2 linked regions of the Arabidopsis thaliana genome follow. The protein of the gene in region 1 interacts with the protein of each later gene in a pairwise test. Each region holds a gene or a part of one and is shown on either strand. Other genes may lie near its edges.

What was found.
Region 2: the proteins of ACT7 (region 1) and ADF6 interact in a two-hybrid assay, tested with the Arabidopsis thaliana proteins (one large-scale study listed by BioGRID).

The regions. Positions count from the first base shown.
Region 1 is NC_003076.8:3,049,741-3,053,667, forward strand, and holds the start of ACT7 (actin 7), read left to right. Parts: upstream 1-2,321; 5' UTR 2,322-2,522; intron 2,523-3,062; 5' UTR 3,063-3,068; coding exon 3,069-3,128; intron 3,129-3,222; coding exon 3,223-3,616; intron 3,617-3,702; coding exon 3,703-3,927. UniProt on the Arabidopsis thaliana protein: Actins are highly conserved proteins that are involved in various types of cell motility and are ubiquitously expressed in all eukaryotic cells.
Region 2 is NC_003071.7:13,291,783-13,295,709, reverse strand, and holds ADF6 (actin depolymerizing factor 6), read right to left. Parts: upstream 1,758-3,927; 5' UTR 1,540-1,757; coding exon 1,516-1,539; intron 1,268-1,515; coding exon 1,002-1,267; intron 913-1,001; coding exon 762-912; 3' UTR 300-761; downstream 1-299. Other genes in the region: RUS2 (root UVB sensitive protein (Protein of unknown function, DUF647)), read left to right, coding at 2,029-2,040, 2,135-2,269, 2,355-2,443, 2,545-2,629, 2,751-2,810, 2,901-2,994, 3,077-3,174, 3,338-3,517 and 2 more. UniProt on the Arabidopsis thaliana protein: Actin-depolymerizing protein. Severs actin filaments (F-actin) and binds to actin monomers.

The sequences.
Region 1 (3,927 bases):
ATATGTATCCAAATGCAAGCGACAAACATATTCGCACGAAAGAGTCGAATGTTTTGGTTAGTGATAGAACATTATATATTGATCTTGATCGTATGATTTCATTTATATTTAGGGACTGAATTATATATTATATTGTAACATTTAACATACAGTATATCATGTGTTGCTAGTTATGATTTACATGCACTTCGAAAATGGTATCTGATTTTTTATATGATTTAGAACTTATCTGGCACACATCATTGAATAGGATCTAACACATTAAAACACTGTCTAACTTATTTGTTTGTATGTGTGTGTTAAATCATCATTTTAGCTAAGATTTTTAACCATAGGCAAAGAAATGACTCAAATGAGCAAACGAGAAACTGCAGACAGCAACATATATCAAACTAACTCTAATAGGCCCAATATAGCCCAATAAGAAGTGTGACCGATGGAGGGAAGAATCGAATTTAAATGATACAGAGTTTTTTTGTTTGGAGAGGAATAGACTGATATGATAGTCCGTGAAAATATTTTCATCTTGTTTTCAATGTGGAGATATTTTAAAGTTTGAAACCAATCCAAGTTCTAAAACATCAAAAGCTTTTATTCTCTGTTTAAACCACTTGGTTGGTCTTGGTCTTCTTGAAATATACAAACCAGACCCAAACGATAATCAGTGAAGATGACTGCATCATTGGGTCTTTAAGTTTCCTATTGGGCCAAATCAGCCCAACTATATTATTGTTATTATTTCAGTCCATTAAAGATTTTCGGCCCGTTTTATCGTTGGGAATTCATCTATATTTCCCCAATTTGATGATACACAGAACAATTTCATGTGTATACGATAAGAGGCAAATTCAAAATTTGCAATCAATGTAAAGTGGAAATGAGAAGCATGGTGGCTCAAATCAACTTATCTTTCCTTGGAATACAAACTACAAATGATGACGGATTTGGCTTCCCTTTGAATTTACCTTTTACCTCTCTCTTTTTTTTTTTTTATAGGTAATGTTGTTATTGGACAAAAATGTTAAGAAAATAAAGGTGAATGATAAATTAGAAGAGTACCCATAACTATTTTGATTATTTAAGTTGCCAACCAAGCTAGACCACTTTCCAACTTTTATAGACAAAGTGTAAGAACTTAGCACATGCTTTCCAACAAGGAATATGAAACTTTATTTCAAAAAGATTATTGTTAAAGCTTTTAATCATTCTAAAAGGTGATTAATATTTGAATTATTGGAAGTAACTTGTTTTGGACATATACCAAATTAATCAATAGTATCAATGGACATATAACATGTTGTGAGACTATATCAATGTTATATTCCAAGCCAGTTAAACCAATTTATAATGATACCATTTATAGATAAACAATACACTTTACACACATTATTTTCTTAGAATTGGGTCTCATATAGAACACTCACAAAGGTGACTTATAAAAAATGCTTCAAAGATCCTAGTCTTTTAGTGTGCATTCCTCAAAATCGTAGTTGATATGTATCTTGCTCCTATTCGGGTTTTGGTCTAGAATTTTGGTTTCAGGAATTTTCAATTAACTCATTAAAACATTTATAACATAAAAAGATATATCACGAAAACCGATCAATCATTTAATATATTTTTATTTTATTTTATTTTTTGTCACAATAAAATCTAGACAATAGTGTTTAAACATTTATCAAAAAATTCACCTTACGATTAATTTGTTTTATATTTTGTGATGATGCAATTTAATCTATATAAATTATAAAACATATCGATAATCTGTGTTTTTCTTTTTCTACATATAAAATTCATAAAAATGAGAGTTTTGAAGCTCTTAAAATGGACTAGTCAACAATTGGCCAATCTTTGTTCTAAATTGCTAATAAACGACCATTTCCGTCAATTCTCCTTGGTTGCAACAGTCTACCCGTCAAATGTTTACTAATTTATAAGTGTGAAGTTTGAATTATGAAAGACGAAATCGTATTAAAAATTCACAAGAATAAACAACTCCATAGATTTTCAAAAAAACAGTCACGAGAAAAAAACCACAGTCCGTTTGTCTGCTCTTCTAGTTTTTATTATTTTTCTATTAATAGTTTTTTGTTATTTCGAGAATAAAATTTGAACGATGTCCGAACCACAAAAGCCGAGCCGATAAATCCTAAGCCGAGCCTAACTTTAGCCGTAACCATCAGTCACGGCTCCCGGGCTAATTCATTTGAACCGAATCATAATCAACGGTTTAGATCAAACTCAAAACAATCTAACGGCAACATAGACGCGTCGGTGAGCTAAAAAGAGTGTGAAAGCCAGGTCACCATAGCATTGTCTCTCCCAGATTTTTTATTTGGGAAATAATAGAAGAAATAGAAAAAAATAAAAGAGTGAGAAAAATCGTAGAGCTATATATTCGCACATGTACTCGTTTCGCTTTCCTTAGTGTTAGCTGCTGCCGCTGTTGTTTCTCCTCCATTTCTCTATCTTTCTCTCTCGCTGCTTCTCGAATCTTCTGTATCATCTTCTTCTTCTTCAAGGTGAGTCTCTAGATCCGTTCGCTTGATTTTGCTGCTCGTTAGTCGTTATTGTTGATTCTCTATGCCGATTTCGCTAGATCTGTTTAGCATGCGTTGTGGTTTTATGAGAAAATCTTTGTTTTGGGGGTTGCTTGTTATGTGATTCGATCCGTGCTTGTTGGATCGATCTGAGCTAATTCTTAAGGTTTATGTGTTAGATCTATGGAGTTTGAGGATTCTTCTCGCTTCTGTCGATCTCTCGCTGTTATTTTTGTTTTTTTCAGTGAAGTGAAGTTGTTTAGTTCGAAATGACTTCGTGTATGCTCGATTGATCTGGTTTTAATCTTCGATCTGTTAGGTGTTGATGTTTACAAGTGAATTCTAGTGTTTTCTCTTTGAGATCTGTGAAGTTTGAACCTAGTTTTCTCAATAATCAACATATGAAGCGATGTTTGAGTTTCAATAAACGCTGCTAATCTTCGAAACTAAGTTGTGATCTGATTCGTGTTTACTTCATGAGCTTATCCAATTCATTTCGGTTTCATTTTACTTTTTTTTTAGTGAAAAATGGCCGATGGTGAGGATATTCAGCCACTTGTCTGTGACAATGGAACTGGAATGGTGAAGGTGAGTTAGACTGTTTATTTAGATACTGTATGGTTCTAACCTTCTTTGTTGTACATGTGTAAGACTACTGATCATGATTTTTGTATATTAACAGGCTGGTTTTGCTGGTGATGATGCCCCGAGAGCAGTGTTCCCAAGTATTGTTGGTCGTCCTAGGCACACTGGTGTCATGGTTGGTATGGGTCAGAAAGATGCTTACGTTGGTGATGAAGCTCAGTCCAAGAGAGGTATCCTCACTCTGAAGTATCCAATCGAACATGGTATTGTAAGTAACTGGGATGACATGGAAAAGATATGGCATCACACTTTCTACAACGAGCTTCGTGTTGCCCCTGAGGAGCACCCAGTTCTACTCACAGAGGCACCTCTTAACCCTAAAGCTAACAGGGAGAAGATGACTCAGATCATGTTTGAGACATTCAATGTCCCTGCCATGTATGTTGCCATTCAGGCCGTTCTTTCTCTCTATGCCAGTGGTCGTACAACCGGTTAGTTCTTAACTCTAAACATCCAAGTCTGAGTTATATTATCTTCTTACTTGTATTTACTTAAAGTCGTTCTCTTTTTGTAACAGGTATTGTGCTCGATTCTGGTGATGGTGTGTCTCACACTGTGCCAATCTACGAGGGGTATGCTCTTCCTCATGCTATCCTTCGTCTTGATCTTGCGGGTCGGGATCTCACAGACTCACTCATGAAGATTCTCACTGAGAGAGGTTACATGTTCACCACTACCGCAGAACGGGAAATTGTCCGTGACATAAAGGAGAAACTTGCTTATGTCGCTCTTGACTACGAGC
Region 2 (3,927 bases), on another chromosome or scaffold:
CCTTCCTAATTGAGATTTCAGTTGGGTCATGCAATCTCGCTTTTGGCCACAACGGCAATGGACCCCACTTGCAACCTCCTAATTCCTTACATTTTTTCTCAAATGGTCAAGGGTATTTATGTCATTTTGACTCCAGTTTGGTAACATTTTTCTTTTTGACATCACAGTTTGGTAACAGTTAAGCAATTAGGAATTAGGAATGGTAGGTTAAGTATACAACCTCATAAAATGGTTTTGCTCTCAATGGAATCGGAAGGGGATATGCGGAAACAAGAAAGAGGTTTTTTTTGTTTTGTTTTAGAAAGCAGGTATATGATAGAACTATTATACATACAACTTAAATTTTACTACACCGAAGAAAGTGAGAAAAAGAAACCACAAATGATGAGGGAAACTTTACACACTACCACTTTCTATATTGTTCGCAAGGATTAGACTCGAATTCAAGATGGCTACAACAAGAGCTTATACAGAATTTGCTAGACTAGTTTAAGAACTCTCTCATCATGCTCATCAACATTCTCGTTATCTACTAAAGAGAAGTTTCTTCTCCCTCTTAACATTACTAATATATCAACCTTTTACGATCTTAAACCATATTCAGTTTACCTAAGCTTTAGGTTGTGCAATCTGAAACACCAGAGGTTATACAGTTTGACATAGAACATGAAACTGTGTTTACACAAATCAATCCACAGAGAATACGAATTATTCATTACATTACCATAAGTTTTGAATAGACATAGCAATCTTGCTTGCTCTCAGTTCGCTCGTTCGCGTAACACTTCAAGATCAACCTCAGTAGGATCAGTAGCTTGAATCTCATAGTGAATCCCTTGAAGCTCCCTACTTAACTGGTCTTTAGAAGTCGAGTAAAGCACCTTGGCTCGAATTCCAGAGGTCGAAGGAGACCTACAACATCAGTAGTCCCAAATCAAAATGTTTTAGTCTCAACACATCAAAACCCTTATAGACTTACTAATGGTAAAAATCAAACTAACCAAGCAAAGAAGAAGATTTTGCTCTTTTGACAATTCTCAGAAGTAACGAAATCAAAGTCATAAACAGCGTATCTGCAGTCATTATCAGGAAGTGAAGCTAAGAAATCATCGTAGCTCTCTGTAGGATTTCCAGTTTTCTCAACAACAACTTCTTTTTTGGATTCATCAATCTTGAAGACCACATAGCGATGAGTTTTTTTCCTTTGAAGCTCTAGAAATGTGGTTTTGCTCTCATCTGCAACACCCATTCCAGATATTGCATTTGGCTACAGATATAAAACCAAAACACATATCAAAACCATACCAAAAGATTCGATTTTTAATCCAAAATTCATCGAATTGACTTCATCTAGTGATCTTAAACCCTCAATAAGAGTAAAAATGGAGATGGGTTTAGTTTTTTTTAACATCGACTTCATAAAAATCAAATTTTTAACATTGAAGATGCTTGCGACATAGACAAGAGTACATCGATTTTAAGCAAGAAGAGAAAAGTTTTTTTTTGTAATTTTACCCTGCTAAGTCCTCTGAAAGACATGGATTTGATTCTGCTTTCTTCAGACACCACAGAATTGGGTTAGAGAGACGAAGACGACACGAACTTATCAAACAAATAAAATCGGATGCGTCGCTTTGTTCTTCGTGCACACTTTTGCTTAGTAATTAAGTTTTTGAATTTTTAACTTTTTTTGGTTTATTGCAGAAGAAAAAGAAGTGTTCGGTCGGTGGCGTTAGAACAACGCGATAAGAAAAGTCGTGTTTCTTTTTAAGTGGGCCATATTTGTTGCCCCTTAACTAGTCGCCGCGTATCTATCAATATTGGGCCTTAATTAAGCCCATTAGTGAATAGTAACAAAAATCATTTGGGCCTCAGAAGTAGAAAAGGAACGAAGAAACGACGTCGTTGTTAAGATAATCTCTTTGATTTTGTTTTTAGACGGCTCTAGGCGATTACTGTTGTGGTGGTTCACTCCAACTCCGGCGACTCTTAACGTTCGGAACCTGACTGTGCCATCGTGTCTCAGAGATGCAGTTTCTTGTAGGATTTCACAATCTTTATTCTATTGTATTTTTAATCTCATTTTATGATTCTCCAAACTATAGTGAATGACTTTGTAACTTGGGGAACGAAGCAGGAGAAGGTGAAGTTGATAAAGAAGGAAGACCCAGTAATGTTGAAGAGCCCTGAAGACTTTCCGGTTTACTGGTTCGAAACCTCTGATTCTGTCTCTCACCGTTATCAGTTCCAATCCGACGGCCACCTCTCTGTAAATCTCCCTCTCCCTCGTTCTTGTCTCTCTTATGCCATTGCTCTCAACTTGTAGAATCATTATGTGAATTATCACGTTTTAGATGAAAGTTGTTGATGATGCAAGACCTGTTCCTCAGAAGATGGTTGAATCTTTCCTTAACAAGTTCTTTCCTTCTGGTTATCCATACAGGTGAACTCAAAGTTTGGAACTTTTGTTTTTAGAGAGTCTCTAGGCTTTAGCCTTAAAGCATGTGTTTTAACCAAGTTTCTTTCTTTACTTCTTCTCTATAGTGTCAACGAAGGATATCTTAGGTACACACAGTTTCGAGCACTTCAGCATTTCTCTAGTGCAGCATTATCAGTGTTATCGACTCAGGTCTTCTTCATGATTCAGCTTTGATTATTGATTTTGGGAAAATTGCATTTGTTTACTTGAGCTGTTGTAATGGAGGTTTTCACATGGACACATAACTTTTTTTTGTATCATTCCTTTGCAGTCACTGTTGTTTGCTGCAGGCTTGCGGCCTACACCGGCACAAGCAACTGTTGTTAGCTGGGTATGTTAAACCACTTCAGTTTGTTTGTTCGTTTGCTTGTTCAGTCCCTGTCCGTAAGTGAAAGTTTTGTTTACTCTATTGGTTCTGTAGATATTGAAGGATGGGATGCAACATGTCGGAAAGCTAATATGTAGCAATTTGGGTGCAAGAATGGACTCTGAGCCTAAACGGTGGAGGATTCTGGGTATGCACCATTCTGTAGCTACATGTTTCTGCTGATGTCTTTATAGCGTTAACTATAAAAAGTATTGATTCATAATTTTCAGCTGACGTGCTTTACGATCTTGGTACTGGTCTGGAACTCGTTTCTCCATTATGCCCGCATCTGTTTCTTGAAATGGCTGGTCTGGGGAATTTTGCTAAGGTATAGATATCTTTCTTAGAACATCTGTGCCTGCTTTCCTCAGCAGCTTCAATAGGAGACCTATGAGATATATTAGCTTTCTAAAGACCATCCTTTTATACATCAATCAGCTTCACTGGTTTCCTGTTTTTCATACTTTTCTGGCATTGTTTGTTTTAAATAGGGAATGGCTACAGTTGCAGCAAGGGCAACAAGATTACCAATATATTCATCTTTTGCCAAAGAAGGAAATCTTAGTGACATTTTTGCAAAAGGAGAAGCTATCTCTACTCTTTTCAATGTTGCCGGGATAGGTGCTGGTATTCAACTTGCGTCCACAATATGTTCATCAATGGAGGGAAAGGTAATGTCATTCTGCTACATCGTTACTCTCTATTTCAAAATGCAGTTTCTATTTGTTTGGATTGCAACTCTATTATGAAAAGGCTGATATCTGCAGTTGGTGGTTGGGTCAATTCTTTCGGTTGTACATGTGTATAGCGTTGTAGAACAAATGCGAGGGGTACCAATCAACACACTGAATCCACAGCGAACCGCTTTGATTGTGGCTAATTTTCTCAAGGTAATTAGCATCATCTTTTGTTCAATTTTTCTGTAAACCATCTTGTTGATTTCTTTTAATTACATAAGAGGTGTTGTTGTATCTTCTCAGACTGGTAAAGTCCCAAGCCCTCCTGATTTAAGATTCCAAGAAGACCTAATGTTCCCCGAGAGACCAATCCAAGACGCAGGAAATGTAAAAGTGGGAAGGGC